Linked DNA regions of Schizosaccharomyces pombe. Changing the gene in region 3 together with the main gene of any one other region gives a genetic interaction. Each region holds a gene or a part of one and is shown on either strand. Other genes may lie near its edges.

Region 1 (7,758 bases), 1.5 Mb from region 3:
ATCGATGGTTTTTAGATCGACTAAAGATTTATACATTAGTGAAAGATACAACATCCGCTCACTAACCAAATTTTTAGAGTGTTTAGAAGCCATACTCAACTTTGTTGGAGACAAAGCTATAGTACTGAAAAGCGTATTGATATCCTTTGTAGTCAGTTGCAAAGAAGAATCTTTTCGAAGTCGCTCAAAAATTGAAAGAGTAAAATCCAAAGAAAAATTATTAGGATTTTGGAGATGCATTTTCTTATATTTTTCCAAAGTACTCGTCAGATTTTGTGAATTGACGTTTAACAAGATATCCTGGGTATCGCAATAAAGGGATGCGGCACTTTTTAAAGAAAAGTTACAAGTATGGAAACTTCTCCGAAATACGTTCGAGTGGTTATTAATAAAATTTGGAGGTAAAGAATTATCAGGTGTAGATTTACTAGTGAGTGAGACCCTAGATTGTTTGCCATGTTCGAGATCAGAATACAAAGTTTCATCCTTAACATGTTCAATATTGTCCAGTTTATAGTATTCCCTAAAATTTTTTGTAATTACATGAATGCTTATGCCGAAGTTTTCGATACTGAGACATGTCCAATTATTTTCAGACGTGTTTAATTGTCGGTTTGACAAATTGGAACGTTTCCTCATTCTCCGTTCTAAAATTTTTCTCCGAGATGCACTAGTAAGGCCATCTACGTTCACCGGTCCAACGTTTTTTTGTTTTAAAAGGCGAAGTAAGCCATTAGTAGCGGATACAACTTCAGATCCACAGTTGCAAGAAGCTAGTAAAATAAGATCTGAATCACACCAAAAAGAATCGGCGGGTGAGTTAACAAAACTGAGATCAGTGGCATAATACTTCTTTTTAAGAAGGTTTAACACATCAGCTAAAAAGTTTGGAGCACCTTTTGGAATAGGTGGCAGCGCAACCGCATCGAAATGCGCTTTTTTAGGAAATAGATTATGTTTTTCATCCACATACCATGGTTTTTTGCTTGAGACTTCCTCTGGTTGCGAATTAGCGTCATTACTTGAATTATCAGGAACTAAATTTTCAGGAAACTTTTGAGAAGCGAAAGGTCGTTTGTCAAATTTGCTTCGAAAAAAGGAAACACATAGTTTGTTGAAACGTAGATAATTAAAGCGATATGTGGGCATTTTTTAATAAAATATGAAATCTCAGCACAGTCATTAAAAATATAAGAATTAATATAATTGAAGTGTTACCTTATAAAGCCGAAAAAAGAATTTCTCAATGCTGTTCTATCACAGTATAACATGAAGACATTGTCTTCTGTTTGAATAGTAATAGATAAAACTTAGATTAAAGCAACAAAAATATTTAGTATGTTTTAAAACAAGACCGCAAATTATTAGGAGAAAACCAAATATTTAATGACCTTGGCACGTTTTCCTAACCAAGAGACCGATTCTAAATAGTGTTCCACTGTAGAAATACGTAATCACCAATATCCGAAATGTACGAACGTTTCTTATGTCAGCAATACTACATTACGCTATGATACACTACGTTGCGTATCACTATATGTCACATGTTCTAATTATATATCGTACCATTTATGATACGATATGGAAATTAATCTTAATGATAATCTATTAAGATCTATATTATCTGAATACTATAAATAGAGCTACTGCTGAACTCGTTCCTCAGTTCAGTTATGAGCTATATTAGTGATAGGTAACATTATAACCCAGTTAATACAATACCTATACTCAGTTGCTACTTATACAACCTGTGTATTGTAATATAATAGATCACAAGGAAAACTCACCGCAGTTCTACGTATCCTTAAATCAGATACCAAACTGCGTAGCTTACATCTTAATTGCATTTTCCCGTTTCGGTCTATTGCCTTAAACTTGTTTACGCTTTATATATACCGACGTTTCTTTGTTTTTAGATGAATGAATTTAATGATAAATACTTCCCTTTCTTAGCTTTGCAATGTTTTGATGCTTTTCGAGATGACACCTGAAACCTTTAAAAAAGTTAACTCCTCTAATCGAATTATTAAAGGGCTTCAATACACACCATTAGCATCATCAATCCCATTGGAAAATGGTATGCATACAGTTTGAACGCGTCTATTAATTTACATAGGTTTACAAAACGTATTATATCCATCTTCTAAATTTCAAAATGAGCCATTGCAACTTAACTCCGAAGAATCAAGTATTATGCAAAGATATGTGGATATGCTAAATCCTGGCGCAACATTCGTTAACGATTCTGAAACCTTTAATTTTTATAAAAATGCTCTTAGCGCTATGATAACGGAACCTGCAATGCCCGCAATGTAAGTTAAATTTTTTGAGGTTTTTTATCTGACAAATATAAAGGAGGGTGAATGCCAGTCCGGTCCTAGACCAAAAGGTGTGTAACAGTGACTCGTTAAGTGAATTAAATGATTTTACAAAATCTCTGATTCAGCCAAGTATGTTGATGTGTGAACCCAAGGAGAAACCTGATGCTTCTTCTATAAATACAAACCGTTCATCTTCCGACAATGGCTTCTTAACTCCGTCTTCAAGTCCTCGAAGTCCATCATGTTCTCGCGTATTTAACGCTGTTCAATTATGTAGCCCTAAAAAATCTAAAGATGATATTACTACCCCAAAAAAGCGACTTATGGAAGACACTTATTCGCCTCGTGAATCTCCCTCAAAGATCCAGCGGTTGCAGGACGTTTTGTTAAAGCAGTTGCAAGATACCAGATTACTAATTTCTCAAGTTATAGAAGCTGAGAATTCGGAAGATTTTTCATCGAATTCTCTCTTTATTAAACGAGAAGACGATGATGGAAAACACATTTCATCGCACGCAATTGAAAAGCTATATATGGCATTAACCAAGCTTAGTCGTTTGGGAGCTTGTGACAAATTGCTGGAAGAAGGGAGTATAATACTTGTAAAACAAATCCTTGAGAAAGAGTTAAAAGAGCTTCCTGTCGCTTGTTACAGTATAATTAATCTTCATGACAGCCTCACACAATTTCCGAATTTAGACTTTATTTTAAAGACCACTGCTCTTGTTCTTTTTATAATATTTCTGGTCCCCTCCTTTAAAAAGCTTCAAAATGAAGAATCAATTCTTCATTTACTTAATATCTTACATTCCATATTTGAGTACACAGTTCCTGAAGCGATTGATAACATCGTTCAATCAAAAACTTCCGATGCTAGGACTTCTGAAATTCAACATCTATCAGTTTTGTTACAAAAAGTCGCAAATGTATTAAACATCTTATCTAAAGTTGCCCATGAAATTCCCTTGTCGGAAGCTGTGGTCATACGCATTGTATATTTATTTCCCAAAGTCTCTACACTCGACAATTCCTTCAAAACTAAACTTCCTAACTGTAACAGCTCATCCTTCGATTTTCTTAAAGCTCCTTTATTTCAAACGTTACAATATTTATTTCGTCTTTATCCTTATCAGCGAGATTTTATCATTGAAGAATCACTTACAAATTTTTCTCACTTGCCCACTGCTCGTTCGGTCTCAAGGACCTATAGACTCTCTAACGGTAAATCCATACAATACTATTCAACCCTATTTGTACGTTTAATTCAGTCATGCTCCATTCAAAACTTATTCGACTCAGAAATTGTACAATCGGAGAGCAAATCCACTGAAGCTTTACACTCAGGTAACTTAACAGAACATCTGAAAACAGTATGTAATGAACACTAAATAAAAATCAATTTCTAACGTGTAGGTCGAATCAATACTATCCAAGTCTCGACATGAAGAATACCGGATAGCTAATCATATTGTTGCTTATTTGCTTAGTCGTTCTTTAAAACAGAATAAAACGGAGAGTGACAACTCATTTGCAATTTTAACCAAAATCCTTTTAGAAGATTTATTAAACATGCTTTCTTTGCCTGAATGGTGCGGAACCGAAACAATTATTCGGCAATTTGCAATGAATTTAGTTATGACTGTGACTAACGACAAACAAGCAGTTTCTTCAAAGAATGCTGCGCTGGATCTTATAAGTCTCATCGTTAACAAGGTTTTGGCATTGTTTGATCTTTCCCTTTTCGAGAAGCACAATATCCCAGCTCCTACGAATTTCAATGATATAATATCGTTCATTCCCTCAATTACTAGATTAAATGAACTTTCTCAAGTTAGCTTTAACCATTTTTACTTTTTATGCAAAGGTGACATATCTCTGGAAGTAAGTGAAAGTTAATTGCTTGTTTATTATATACTAACTTACAGAACATACTCCCTTATAACTACAATAAATGGTTTTCATTTCTCTTACAGCTTAGAAAAGTATGCAATGACTCCGAAGCTTTAAAAATTATTGATAATTGTATCGATAAGAATATGCAAAAGTCTCAAGAGGGGTTTCAAGGTCCTTCACCATTTAAAGCAGATGAAAATGACGAAGATATTTTCATTATATCCCTTTATCATTCTTCTTTGTTTTTAAATTTAAAGTTTTTTGTCTCGCTCATTATAGGCTTTCTCGATAGTCCTCAAGCTAGTCTTCGAACTAAATGCCTTCGAATCATCAATCAAATGAAAACTATACCTTCTATATTAAGAACACATCCAGAAGTTTTGGCTCAGATAATATCAAAATCGAATGATCAGTCTGCGATAGTTCGAGATACTGTGTTAGACTTACTTGGCACATATATCATGGCATATCGGGAGACAATTCCTCAAATATATGGTTGTATAATTTCTGGAATTTCGGATCCTTCAACAATCGTTCGTAAACGCGCTATAAAGCAACTATGTGAGGTTTATGAAGCTACCGAAGATTTAAATATCCGTGTTGACATAGCTTCAAAACTTTTAACCCGGAGTAATGATGAAGAGGAAACAATCAGTGAATTAAGCCTTGAGGTTTTAGAAAAACTTTGGTTTTCACCCGCAAGCAATGAATTAGATTGTCAAAAAGGCTATGAGCAATTAACTTTCTTAGAAAAGCAGAAGTTAAGAGTTCAGTATTTTCCTATTTTAAAACTATGTGCTGAACCATCAACCGAAAGACACGTCCTGTTGGTAACGTCTCTGAAAACCATGTTGACTTCTAAGGAAGAGATCAATTTGAGTACACTACACACTCAAATTCGACTTCTTCTCTCTTGTCTTTTCAATCAGCTAATAGAAGTTGTAACCGAAGATCAAGTTGATGAATCAACAAAGGGAATTTTATACGAAATAATGAGTACATTGTTTGTTTTTTCACGCGCTTTTCCCTTCCTCTTTGACTTGTCTTATCTACACCTCTTAAAACCCTATTTACGATCTGCTTCAACTATTGAAGAGCAACGTTTTCTTTACTATGTAGTAGCTATTTTTAGACAGGTTTTACCATTTCAAAAAGAAATTTCTGAAAGCTTCCTACGGAGCCTTGAATCTGTGTTACTGCAAAGGCTTACTAAAGCCGGTACTGCAACGTTAATGGAAATAGTTCCTTGTCTTTGCAGCCTATTTACAAGACTTAATGATTATGAAAGGTTAAAGAAAATTGTGGTTTCGTGTCTTAAATCTTTAGAGGAGGCACGACACTCAGAAAACAATTTTCAAAAAATGGTTCGCTTAATAGACCTCATTGGGCTTTTTTCTAGATATGGGGATCTCAATAGAATAAATGATGATTGGAAACATTCACTTGATTTTATTAGTCCTGAGTGTGATGATGCTTACGTTATACTATTAGGTTATTTTCAGAAACTTCTAAAAGATGCGAAAGGTCAGCTGAGAATTCACATAATTGATAACATGAGCAGAATATGTTTAAGAGAAACATCTTTGTTTATATCTCCTCTTATGTTATCAACTTTGGATATGATAATTGCGGAAAATAATGTTAACGAAGTATCTGTTTTGTTTAAATCTTTTCTTGAGCTTTTGGCCGCGGATGAGGATCTTATCTTTGAAGCAGATCAAAAGCTAAGTTTAAAGGGTAAGCAAAACGTTCAGTCCAACAAATCAGTTGATCGAGATATGCTTAAAGGAACTAAGGATAAACAATGGATTGAAGGGTATGTATTTTATAAACAAACTATCACTAATTTAATGCAGAGTCAGTGCATCTTTAATGCAGCATTTCCTTCCCTGTATTCTTGACTCTTGCTTTTCAAAAAATTTAAGGTATTCAATGCTCGGAATTGAAATTCTCAAATGTATTATTCATCAAGGACTAGTAAACCCACGCATGGTATGCCACTTTTTACTTTTTGATTACTAATTAAATTAGTGTTTCTCAACCATAATAGCACTCGAATCCAATGCAATTAAAGAAACCAGAGAAGTAGCAATTTTGCTTCACACTGAATTGCACCGAAGACATGAATCTTTGATAGATGGCTTATATGCTCAATCTGCAGATTTAATATTTTCCCTTCAAAAAACGGAGGAATATCAAACATTTAAGTTAGGCGAATTTTCGCCGTTCCAAAGTGCCTATACCATTGTCTCCGCTGATAAAAGTTCAAAATCTAGGAAAAAATTAATAATGCAAATATTAAAACCTCTTAAACTCGACGGGATTGATTTACCCAGCTTTACAGAAGAAAAAGTTTCATTTGTAAGCTTTTGCTGTGTATGTCTGGCAGGAATTCCATACGTGTCAATAGAGGAACCGTTAATGATCATTTCAACAGTTGATTCGGTGCTCGCGACGATAGGCCCTACTATTACTGGGTGGATGAAAAAACTAGATCATGAACGTTTTAAAATCCTTGCAGGTATCAACTTGTGCAATTTGATATATCTTAAGAGATATATAAAATACGCATTTTCAATTTCAGACTCATCTCGACCTATACGTGAGAAAAAGCCTCTAACTCTTTTGAATAGAGGTTATGTGGATTTAATTACTTCTGATGCTAAGCCAGATATTGTTTCTAAGTTGGTAAGTTAAAGTTCCTTAACCAAATTGCTGACTGTTTTAGGTGATAAAATTGTTTGAAGAAGAAAATATCCTTTCTGGCGAGGATCAAGTTGAAGGGGAACAGCTTACAGTTGTCTAAATGAAAAAAGGGATTAAAAAAAAAATCAAAAAGCTCTCAAGCAGTATATTTCAAAAATATTTATTTTATATGGGTTATCAATATTTTTTTATGAAAAAACAGGTTATCCAATTTGATTTTTACTCACAATAATAGGCAGCAACATTTAAAAGTTCTGAACCATGAATACAACTCGCTCCAAATTTCATTTATGCATTATTTAATACCAATAAGACATTCTTTTCATTTATTGTTTAAATAAGTAACAAGTAAACAGCTTGAGATCCTTTTAATTAGATGTTAAGACATAACTGTTAAATGACACTGCTAGTTCTTTAACTATTAATAATAAGAAACAATCATTTTTAGAATAGTAAAGGAACTTGTATCGTCCCAAATTTTTATTTTTTGAATGTAATATTCAAATCAGGATATTTATATGTTGTCAGAGTATTGAATTTTCAAAGTACATGAGTAAGCACGAAGAGATAAACGTGCTACTACGATTACACTACAACGGCGGTAACCTTTAAAAAAAAAAGAAAAAAAGCTATTTCTAAAACACAGACATTTAAACGATTGAGTGAATGATTTCGCCTATAGTTTTCCATTGGCATCTCGTTAGCGTACTAAACGTCTCAGCTCAGCACAACACTTTACCTTTACCAAACCACCATCAAAAGCCATGGAATCACTACTGGCAGTTCAGGGTCAGGATTTTGTACTCACTGCTTCATCATCATCAGCAGTTCGTGGAAT
Region 2 (5,328 bases), on a different chromosome or scaffold from region 3:
CTTCACCAACACCAAACTCTGGGTACAATCTTCACTGTACATTCGTGATTAAAGAATAATCGATTGTTGAGTGTTTAATATCAGTTGTTCAATTCAAAGGCATTCCCAAAGCAGGAGACAGTATTGTCTACATTAACAATGGCTTATCTTATTGATATACCATTTGAATACTTCTCTTCTTTCCTTGGAGTCCACCCGGATCAGCTCAAGTTACTGTTTTGTTTTCTTTCAGCATACCCGTTTGCCGGCATACTAAAAAGACTTCCTTCGGCTCCATGGATTAGAAACTTATTTTCAATAAGCATAGGTTTATTTTATCTCATTGGTGTTCATCATCTTTACGATGGCGTTTTAGTTTTGCTATTTGACGCTTTGTTCACATATTTCGTGGCCGCGTTTTATCGATCGTCACGAATGCCATGGATCATATTTATAGTAATCCTTGGCCATACATTTAGCAGCCATGTTATTCGGTACATTTACCCTTCAGAAAATACTGATATTACTGCTTCACAAATGGTACTATGTATGAAGCTTACAGCGTTTGCCTGGTCTGTTTACGACGGTCGTCTTCCTTCAAGTGAATTATCTTCTTATCAAAAAGACCGCGCGTTGAGAAAGATTCCTAATATCTTGTATTTCCTTGGATACGTATTTTTCTTTCCCTCATTACTTGTTGGTCCAGCTTTTGATTATGTTGATTACGAAAGGTTTATAACCCTTTCTATGTTTAAGCCTTTGGCTGATCCTTATGAAAAACAGATAACACCACACAGTTTGGAACCAGCCTTAGGTCGTTGCTGGCGAGGTCTGTTGTGGCTGATTTTATTTATTACCGGAAGCTCAATCTATCCTTTAAAGTTTCTACTTACACCTAAGTTTGCTTCCTCCCCTATTTTGCTAAAATATGGATACGTTTGCATAACTGCTTTTGTTGCAAGAATGAAATATTATGGCGCATGGGAACTTTCTGACGGTGCATGTATATTGTCAGGCATTGGTTATAATGGCCTGGATTCTTCTAAGCATCCTCGTTGGGATCGAGTGAAGAATATTGACCCTATTAAGTTCGAATTCGCAGATAATATCAAATGTGCTCTTGAGGCTTGGAACATGAATACCAATAAATGGCTTCGAAATTACGTTTATTTGAGAGTTGCAAAGAAGGGAAAGCGTCCAGGGTTCAAAAGTACGCTAAGCACATTCACTGTTAGTGCAATGTGGCATGGAGTTTCTGCTGGATATTATTTGACTTTTGTTTCCGCAGCCTTTATCCAAACAGTTGCAAAATACACGCGTCGCCATGTTCGCCCATTTTTCCTTAAACCAGATATGGAAACTCCTGGGCCTTTTAAGCGAGTCTATGATGTTATTGGTATGGTAGCAACAAACCTCTCTCTCTCCTATCTAATTATCTCTTTCCTTCTTTTGAATCTAAAAGAATCAATACACGTTTGGAAAGAGCTATATTTTATTGTGCATATATATATATTGATAGCTCTGGCTGTGTTCAATTCCCCAATAAGGTCGAAATTAGATAATAAGATACGATCCAGAGTCAACAGCTATAAACTAAAAAGTTACGAACAATCTATGAAATCCACTAGTGATACGGACATGTTAAATATGTCGGTGCCCAAAAGAGAAGATTTTGAAAATGATGAATGAAGGATTAATTTGCTATGAGGTAGCATCATATGCAATAAATTGAAGCATTTGAATATTTTGCAGCTTTGTTAACAGCAATTTCATCTTAATTGTTCATCATATACAATACCTTTCATGGCGGCAGTATATTCATTGTGTTTATATATATGTTTACATATTAAAGTAGTCTCTTAAATAAAATTCCTGAATGTTTTCTCTCAATTCAGTTTTTAAGTTTAACATCTAATTTCCTTTGATGATTTATTTTGGTTACAACATTATGAGAGTTTGAATTTATTTTGCTTTAGTATCTGGTAGTAGGTAACGTTGCTATATCTAGTACCTTAGTCCACTAAATTCAACACGAACGCGCTATAGAACTTGAGCGATTCTTATTAAAGAACTTTTTTGAGGGTATGAACTGAATGGAATTAGGCAAAAGCAAATTCTCTTGGAAGGACTTGCAATATTGTGATAAAGCAGGTACACAAAATTCACCGTTAAGGGTTGTAGCTCATATTGATCAGGATGCTTTTTACGCTCAAGTCGAAAGTGTTCGCCTAGGATTAGACCATTCAGTTCCCCTTGCTGTTCAACAATGGCAAGGGCTTATTGCTGTAAACTACGCAGCCCGTGCAGCGAATATTTCACGCCATGAAACAGTTACTGAAGCAAAAAAGAAATGTCCAGAGCTTTGTACCGCTCATGTAAAAACTTGGAAAGCTGGGGAGTCAGAGGCTAAGTACCATGAAAACCCAAATCCTAACTACTATAAAACCTGTTTAGATCCTTATCGGCACGAAAGCGTTAAGATTCTTAACATCATAAAGAAACATGCGCCTGTGGTTAAGAAGGCTAGTATTGACGAATGTTTTATTGAACTTACGAGTGATGTTAAACGGATTGTGTTGGAGGAATATCCTTACTTGAAAATTCCCTCTGAGGACTCAAATGTTGCTTTGCCGCAGGCTCCAGTGCTACTATGGCCTGCTGAGTTTGGAATGGTCATTGAAGAAGAAGTTGTAGATAGAACGAAAGAAGATTATGAAAGGGATTGGGATGATGTTTTTTTATTTTACGCTGCAAAAATCGTGAAAGAAATTCGCGATGATATATACTTGCAACTCAAATACACGTGCTCAGCAGGAGTTTCTTTTAACCCAATGCTTTCAAAGCTTGTCAGCTCGCGTAATAAACCAAACAAGCAAACTATTTTAACGAAAAATGCAATTCAAGATTATTTAGTGTCATTAAAGATTACTGATATAAGAATGCTGGGCGGAAAATTTGGAGAAGAAATAATTAATTTATTAGGAACAGATTCTATTAAGGATGTTTGGAATATGAGTATGGACTTTTTGATAGATAAGCTTGGTCAAACTAACGGTCCACTCGTTTGGAATTTGTGCCATGGAATTGATAACACTGAGATTACTACACAAGTTCAGATTAAATCAATGTTGTCGGCTAAAAATTTTTCTCAGCAAAAAGTGAAGTCTGAAGAAGATGCAATTAACTGGTTTCAAGTATTCGCATCTGATCTTCGATCACGATTCCTTGAACTTGAAGGAATGAGAAGGCCCAAGACCATTTGTTTGACTGTTGTATCAAGATTTCTGAGAAAGTCAAGGTCAAGTCAAATACCTATGAATGTTGATATTAGCACTCAGTTTATTGTTGAAGCAACATCCAAACTGTTGCGTCAACTGCAACAGGAATTCGATGTATATCCGATTTCAAACTTATCTATTAGCTTTCAAAACATCATAGAGGTTGATCGTAATTCTAGGGGAATTGAGGGTTTTTTAAAAAAGTCCAATGATGAAATCTACATGTCTACTTCTGTTTCACCTTCTATTGAGGGACGCGCTAAATTATTGAACGAAAATATGAGGGAAAATAATTCTTTTGAATTATCTTCGGAAAAAGATATAAAGTCACCTAAAAGGTTGAAAAGAGGTAAAGGTAAAGGGATTTTTGATATGCTACAACAGACCGCTGTTTCTAAACCAACGGAGAATTCAGCTGATGAAACTTACACGTGTGAAGAATGCGAACAGAAAATTACTTTATCCGAAAGAAATGAACATGAAGATTATCATATAGCTCTCTCCATTTCGAGAAAAGAACGCTATAATAACTTAGTACCGCCATCCCATGATAAACCTAAGCAAGTAAAGCCTAAAACATATGGAAGGAAAACCGGTAGCAAGCATTATGCACCTTTATCCGATGAAACAAACAACAAAAGAGCATTTTTGGACGCATTTTTAGGAAACGGTGGAAATCTGACACCAAATTGGAAAAAGCAAACGCCAAAAGCAATTTCCAACAGCTCAGACAACATGACCCAGTTACACTTAGATTTGGCTAATTCCACCGTAACTTGTTCAGAATGTTCTATGGAGTACAATTCAACGAGCGAAGAAGATATTTTGCTTCATTCTAGGTTTCATTCTCGGGTTCTAGGAGGTGTTACTGTGTCCTTTCAATGCTCTCCTATTTATCGCGTTAACTATGGTTTGAGTTCCGATTGCATATACAGCATAAATTCAGAAAGCTCATTAATTGATCAAAGAAAAGCAGAGGAAGCTTTATCTTTCGTAAATAACGAACTTTCAAGTGAGCCTATTGAAACAATTGGGGTAGATAAATATACCACATTTCTATTCATATCAGATAAGAAATGTGTCGGATTACTTCTGGCAGAGCGTATATCTTCTGCATACATAGTCGATGAACTTGAACTCAACAACAACAATAGCACCTCTTCCGCAGTATATATAAAAAACGAAAATCTACGAAAGGGGTTTGTATTGGGTATTTCCAGGATTTGGGTATCAGCTTCAAGACGCAAACAAGGGATAGCAAGTTTACTATTAGACAATGCTTTAAAAAAATTCATTTACGGTTACGTTATATCGCCTGCAGAAGTTGCTTTTAGTCAGCCTAGTGAAAGTGGTAAACAGTTCATTATTTCGTGGCATCGTTCTCGAAACAATGGTTCTTCGAAGTCACTTCGATATGCTGTTTATGAAAGTTGAAAATAGTCTGACAAAATTAAAGTTGTTCTAAATATCTATCTAAGCGTTATATAGAAGTTTTTTTTTTAAATTATTAATTAATCATTAATGAAAACCGTTTTGTTTAACGAAATGTTTGGCTTTGCCTAATGAATGATGCTTAAGGGCATCTATTACAACTGGGAACACTTCCTCTTTAACATCCTGGCCCCATAGAAAGTCAAGATGTTCATAATGAGCAATCTAACTTATATTAGCATATTGAGCAACAAACCTATAAAATAAAAGGCTTACCGAAACTTCCTTTGCATGGGGAGGAAGAGCAGTTCTCATTACTTCCATATTGATCAAAGTATCTTTACCTCCCCATAGTATCAGCATTGGGCATTTGATATTATTCGTAGGAAACAGAGGAACTTGGTAATGGCGTGAACCATATCCAGCTAGAAGAGCCATATCGTCGTCATAAAGCTGGAAAGTACAGTTTTTTATAATCTGAAGCCAGTGAACAACACTCTTTACACTTGAAAAAGAGTAAAGATGTGCATAACCGCAAAGTTTTTGATTAAGAGAAATGTTGGATAGGTCCCAGTTGAATAAAATTTTAAGGGATACATCGACAATTTTTACAAAAATTGGGGGATCTGTAGAGTAAGCA
Region 3 (6,315 bases):
GCCTATTTACATTCTCGAGGAGTGGTACATAGAGATCTGAAGTTGGAGAATATATTGCTAGATACTAATCGAAATATCGTAATTGCGGATTTCGGCTTTGCGACTACTTTTGGGCACTTTAATACTCTCAGTGAACACTCATTGCCCACGGAAAAGCCAGATTTATTTAGTACATCATGTGGATCGCCTTGTTATGCGGCCCCTGAATTAGTGAATTGCAAGTCTGGAATGTATGCTGGCACACAAGCAGATATTTGGAGTTGCGGTGTCATTTTATATGCAATGTTGGCTGGGTATCTACCATTTGACGATGATCCACACAATCCAAATGGAGAAAATGTCCCTCGACTCTATCGGTATATTTGCAGTACTCCTTTAATATTTCCGGAGTTCTTTAAAAGCAAAGCTCGCGACATTCTTAAAAAAATTTTAGTTCCTGATCCAGCAAAACGTGTCCGAATGTCAGCAATTATGAATCACGCATATCTCCGGTCTCATGTGTCTCTATTTGAAACGTATAACGATGATGAAGCGACCTCACTGCGTCCGTCTCCCATCCGTTTGCTTTCTCAAAAATCTTTAGCTAGTGTTTCTTCAGTTTCGTCAATCAGCACTTACTCTTCTTCCATTGAATTGACTCCTCAGATCACAAAAACTTCATTAAATCGAGAAAAACCGGCATTACATGGCAGCATCAATCTTAAACACTCAACGAGGCCGGTTGTACCAATTGCAGATGGTATCTATGCTTCTACTACTCTTCATCCAATCGATAATGCTAAAAACCGCTTGGTTTCTTTACTGCGCCGTCCCAAGCATAAGGTTAAGCATGCCAAAGTTGAAACACGTGAATCTCCTATGAAAAATAAGCCAACTAAGAAACAACACAAGCGTGCATTTAGCATGTTTGAGAGGCCCACTTCTCAGAAAGCCCCATTGTCACCAGTAGAAAGCAAGATTAACCTTATGGTTGCTCCTAAACGTGTATTAAATTGTGCTTCAGATTCTTTAAGAGCTTTATTAGCAGGAAAGACGGATAAATCTTTTTGGGGTTCACGTATACCATTCTTGTTTAATAAATTGAAATCCAAACAGAAGGCTGTATCCAGCTCCTTCAATACGGAAAACTCATTTTTAATTCTTCAAGCAGTTTCGCCTTTAACTTTTGGAGGTTGTTTCAAAGAAGAAAACGCGTATGGGCAGAAGAAGCAGCACATGAGACACGCTACCGTTTTTTAATGTTTGCGTTACGATATTGTATATCTCAACAATGCATGATAATTATCAAACTGCCTGTTTCCTATATTAGTTTTTTAAAAAGATGGCTCTTCGACTTTTTCTTAAGAAAAGCGGTTTATATGGTTATCAATTATTAAAGCTTGAATTGATTGTTTGACAATGTTGAACAATGGGTTTCCTAAAAAAAGACGCTTTAGCTGATTTTTATCGTTTATCAGCGTGTATATTACTTGCCTTGTACTTTACAGTTTCCGCTTTTCATCTTTATTCTAACTTTTTATTTTAATTTTTAATTTTTTGGTACAAGCACCTTTCGTTCTTTAAACTACTTTTAAACTATTAAATTTCTTTCACTCATATGTCCTTATATCTAATTCACTCGTTAATAATATTTTATCATTACCCTTGAGTTATACTTATTAGTAAATAGTGTAATATTTTAATTACAATAAATGGAACGCGTTCTTTTACGCGTCTCTTCTTTAAGCAAGTACATTGCGAGTCTAACACGAACGTAATAAAGAGTTGAGCACCACATTTTGAAATCGCATCTTTCAAGCTTCAATATTGCGAAGTACTAATTAATAAAATCAGCCTATGGCTCTTATGGATATAGAGCATTGAAAGTTTACTGCATTTGTCATTTATTTGTTAAATACCCAAGGTGAATAGTACAAAAGCGTGCAAAAGCCAACTTTTGCGATGATAAAGTTACAGTTTCAAAGAAACATTGTCCCAACACATGACAATCCGTTAACGACTTCCGAGATTTTAAAACGACTACGTGATTTACTAGGAGAGCTTACTAGCCTATCCCAAGATACTATCGACCGTGACTCAGTATTGCCAGTAGCACGATCATTAGTAAATAACAATTTGCTCCATCACAAAGATAAAGGGATACGCTCTTATACACTTTGTTGTATTGTTGAATTGCTTCGTTTATGTGCCCCCGATGCGCCCTTCACTTTATCACAATTGGAAGATATTTTCCAAGTAATTCTCAAAATTCTTAGTGGTCTTATGAATCAAGAATCTACTTATTATCCACAAATTTACGAGATATTAGAGAGTTTGTCGAACGTTAAATCTGCAGTTCTAATAGTTGATCTCCCGAATGCTGAAGAATTCTTAGTAAATATCTTTCGTCTCTTCTTTGATTTAGCGAGAAAGGGTACTACCAAGAATGTCGAGTTTTACATGCTTGATATTATTAACCAGTTGATCAATGAGATTAACACCATTCCTGCTGCTGCCTTGAACATACTATTTGCTCAACTAATATCAGGAAAGGGCGTAAGGCAAACAATTGGCTCTTCCGATTCTACTAATCACGGTCCAGCTTTTCAACTAGCGAGAAATATTTTTCATGACTCAGCAGATCGACTACAAAGATATGTTTGCCAGTATTTCTCAGATATTATATTCGATTCAAGAGATTCGCTTTCTGACTCCATGACTACTCCAGAATTTATATTCTCGCACAATTTAGTTTTACAATTATGGAAATATGCACCAACCACGTTATTGAACATTATTCCACAATTCGAAAATGAATTGCAAGCTGAACAAACTAGTGTGCGACTTGTGGCGATAGAAACTGTTGGTTTGATGCTCCAAGACAACGCCATATGGTCCGATTATCCTAGGGTATGGAGTGCATTTTGTGGTCGGCTCAATGATAAATCAGTTGCATGTCGTATCAAATGCATTGAAGTTGCTTCCAACGCTCTTCAGAATTCATTGGCTACTTCTGAGATAATTGAAAACGTAGTTCAAATGCTTCAATCAAAGTTGGCCGACACGGATGAAAAGGTGCGGGTTGCTACTCTTAAAACGATCGAACAGTTGACTTTCGAAACCTTTAAAATGCAATTTTCAGTACAGGCTTTGAAACTCATGGGTGACCGTTTACGTGATCGTAAACTCAATGTTCGTTTACAAGCAATTCGGACACTAAGTCAAATTTATAATAGAGCATATCAAGACCTTATAGATGGTGTGGAATACTCAATACAGATGTTCAGCTGGATCCCTTCATCTCTTTTGGAAGTATTTTATGTTAATGATGAAACAACTAATGCGGCTGTTGAAATTTGTATGGCTGAACTGGTCCTACAATACCTTAGTTCTGATACGCAAACAAGGTTAAACAGGCTTTTCCTTTCAATAAAGTATTTTAGTGAAAAAGCGATGCGAGTTTTTATTCTACTTTTACAAAGACAAGTTAAGTATTCGGAACTCTTAAATTACTACATTGAGTGCTGCAAAAATTACAATGGAGGTGTTATGGATAATGATGAAGAGTCAATTACCAACAAGCTTAAGAAGGTGATTGATATCATATCATCAAAAAGTTCTAATCCTACATTAACAGAAGCCACTTTCAGAAAATTTGCGGAACTTAATGATCGTCAAAGCTACAAAATGCTTTTACAAACGTTTTCCATTAAAAGTGAATATCAAGTTGTTTTAAAAAGCATAAAATATTTATTTAAAAGGGTTTCTGAAACGTTGAGTACCGCAAGTCTTGAATGTTTTAGAATATTCGTTTACCGTTCAGCTCTGTTTGCTTTTAATAAAAGCAACGTGCATGAAATAATTCAATTATTAAATGAACCTGTAAAATACCACAATTTCCTTAAGCCGTCGGAGGCTCTTTTACAGCATTTACCGCTAATTCATCCCAACATATATGGAGAGGTTGTTATAGAAGTTGAAAATATTATAGTTTCTTCGGGCATTGAATCGGATCCTAAAGTAATTAAAGCTCTTTCCCAATTCTCCAAAAGAAAAAAAAATTTTTCTATACAAACAACAACTGCTGAAATACTACGAAAGTTGTGTCTACATGGAACACAGGAACAAGCCAAACAGGCAGCGACGATTATCGCTATAACGGAGACGAAAGAATTCAAACTCGATATGATAACGAATATCGTGGAAAATTTGGAGTATAATGGAGGACTTCCTGTACGGCTTATGACTTTAGGACAACTATTTCTATACACTTTAGAAGAGGTAGAGAAGGTTGCTGACCAAGTTACAGAATTTTTAGTAAAAAAAGTTATACAGCGCTTTCCTGAAAAATATGATGATACGCATAATGATGAGGAATGGTGTACTTACGAAAAATTAGATAATCTTACCATGTGCAAAGTTTTAGCAATTAGGGTTTTGGTTAATCGACTGAGGGCGGCGGCAGGAGGAACCGAAGCGTTAAATATTGGAGCTCCTATCATTAAGCTATTGAAAGTATTGTTAATGGCTGACGGTGAATTAAGTCCGTTCAAGAATACTCCCAAAATTTCTCGTGCTTATTTACGTCTCACTGCTAGCAAATATTTTTTAAAGTTATGTTCCATTCCTTTTTATGCGGAACATATAGATTTTAGTTCTTACGTTCAAATCTCCTTATTATGCCAAGATGAAAATTTTGACGTGAGAAATTTATTTTTGACGAAGCTTCAGAAGCAGCTGCAACTTAAAAAGTTGCCAATTAGTTATTATCCTTTATTGTTCCTGACTGCTGTTGATCCGGAAGAGGAGATCAAGACTAAAGCGTCTATATGGATACGTTCTCAGGTTGCTTTTTTCCAGAAAACCCATGATTTTACCATGGAATATGTAGCAACATATCTTATCCATCTTCTCTCTCACCATCCAGACATATCTTCGATAGAATCAGAGAACTCGCTTGATTTTATTGCATACATTCGCTTTTACGTTGACACTGTTGTTAATAGTGAGAACGTCCCAATCGTTTTTCATCTAATGCAACGCATAAAACAAAGCTATGATGTTATTGAAGATGGAAACAATTACATTTATGTGCTAAGCGACATGGCTCAGAAAATATTGCAGGTGAAATCCCAGAACTTTGGATGGAGTTTGACTACGTATCCAAAGCAAATTAAATTACCTTACGAAATTTTAAGACCAATTCCCTCTATAGATGAGAAAAAGAGAATTTTCAATAAAATCTTCATAACGCCTAAAATGGAAAGTCAGATTGAACATGCTATAAGGACACCAGTCTCATCTTTTGCGAAACAGACTACCAATAAGCACGCAAATTTGAAGCAAAAGAAGACTCATAGCTCAAAGAGCGATAAAAAATCGTCTAGAAGAAGGAAAAACGAAAAAAGGAGAAAGCTAAATGAGCAGAATCCTAATATTAGGAACGTGCCAGAACGAAGTAGCTCAAGATTTCAAGGGATTCGTATAAATTATTCGGAAGCACCGTCTTCAAGTGAGGAGATAAGCGAAGAAGAGGAGGAAATTAGCGAAGAAGATTTTGATGAAATAGAGGATTTATAAAAAAGGCTTATTTGGATGCGAAATACCGATACTAGAACACTTACCCAATATTACCAATGAATTTTCAATGTTAATTAGATAAATTGCTATCTTTTTTGTTAAACAATCTATGCTTGCTAATTGCCTAAACTTTTGAAAGATGACTCCATCACATACATGCCTCCATAACTTCTGCATCTATTAATTTTTTTCATTCCTAGTAATATAATAATAAAAGTTGCATTTTTGAGTTTTTTTACGCTTTACAATTCGTAAAATCTAATAGTGAGATTGGATTAGCCGCTGTAGTATATCTTAATAAAGCATGGCTGGGCGAACTAATTACGGTGACCGCACAATATATTTACCTACAACCAACACCGGTGTTTGATACTTAGGGGTTTGAACTTTCTAGGAATTCAATAAAGTGAAGCAAAGCTTTACGATTAATTATTTTTTGTGAAATAGTATGCCCACCATTAAGTGTGTCGTAGTAGGAGACGGTGCTGTAGGAAAGGTGAGTTGATGTTTACGGAAGGTGAAGTTAAGCAATGCATAAAAAAATACAAGAATTGCTATCATCTAAAATGAAGTTTCTTTTGTCTATACATTCCCCTTTATTTCTTTCTTTCCAAAAATTGTTCTTTTGAGTTTTACACATACTGACCGTTTGAATGTAGACCTGTCTGCTTATTTCCTATACTACAAACAAGTTTCCTAGTGACTATGTGCCAACTGTATTCGATAATGTAAGTATAATTAGTTGTTTATGGAATG

Evidence for each region. Genes that interact genetically often act in the same process or in processes that back each other up.
Region 1: mutations in pds5 (region 3) and mis4 are lethal when combined (synthetic lethality), as found in Schizosaccharomyces pombe (3 studies listed by BioGRID, with this or other methods).
Region 2: of pds5 (region 3) and eso1, a mutation in one rescues a mutant of the other (synthetic rescue), as found in Schizosaccharomyces pombe (3 studies listed by BioGRID).

Annotation. Positions count from the first base shown.
Region 1 is NC_003424.3:391,100-398,857, reverse strand, and holds mis4 (adherin Mis4), read left to right. Parts: upstream 1-1,918; 5' UTR 1,919-1,968; coding exon 1,969-2,077; exon of another isoform or gene 2,078-2,116; coding exon 2,117-2,312; intron 2,313-2,355; coding exon 2,356-3,691; intron 3,692-3,734; coding exon 3,735-4,202; intron 4,203-4,246; coding exon 4,247-6,030; exon of another isoform or gene 6,031-6,070; coding exon 6,071-6,206; exon of another isoform or gene 6,207-6,245; coding exon 6,246-6,902; exon of another isoform or gene 6,903-6,942; coding exon 6,943-7,020; 3' UTR 7,021-7,230; downstream 7,231-7,758. Other genes in the region: ATP synthase complex assembly protein atp25, read right to left, coding at 1-1,149; pre1 (proteasome core particle subunit beta 4), read left to right, coding at 7,685-7,758. UniProt on the Schizosaccharomyces pombe protein: Plays a structural role in chromatin. Chromatid cohesion molecule required for equal sister chromatid separation in anaphase. May form a stable link between chromatids in S phase that is split rather than removed in anaphase.
Region 2 is NC_003423.3:4,276,336-4,281,663, reverse strand, and holds eso1 (mitotic cohesin N-acetyltransferase/DNA polymerase eta Eso1 fusion protein), read left to right. Parts: upstream 1-2,010; 5' UTR 2,011-2,072; coding exon 2,073-4,691; 3' UTR 4,692-4,775; downstream 4,776-5,328. Other genes in the region: ale1 (MBOAT family O-acyltransferase), read left to right, coding at 139-1,668; SPOM_SPBC16A3.12C (triglyceride lipase-cholesterol esterase), read right to left, coding at 4,776-4,913, 4,965-5,314. UniProt on the Schizosaccharomyces pombe protein: Probable acetyltransferase required for the establishment of sister chromatid cohesion and couple the processes of cohesion and DNA replication to ensure that only sister chromatids become paired together.
Region 3 is NC_003424.3:1,910,101-1,916,415, forward strand, and holds pds5 (mitotic and meiotic cohesin loader subunit Pds5), read left to right. Parts: upstream 1-1,747; 5' UTR 1,748-1,941; coding exon 1,942-5,559; 3' UTR 5,560-5,797; downstream 5,798-6,315. Other genes in the region: serine/threonine protein kinase Ppk1, read left to right, coding at 1-1,239; Rho family GTPase Cdc42, read left to right, coding at 6,008-6,055, 6,219-6,287. UniProt on the Schizosaccharomyces pombe protein: Required for the establishment and maintenance of sister chromatid cohesion during S phase. Prevents their formation until eso1 is present. May also have a role during meiosis.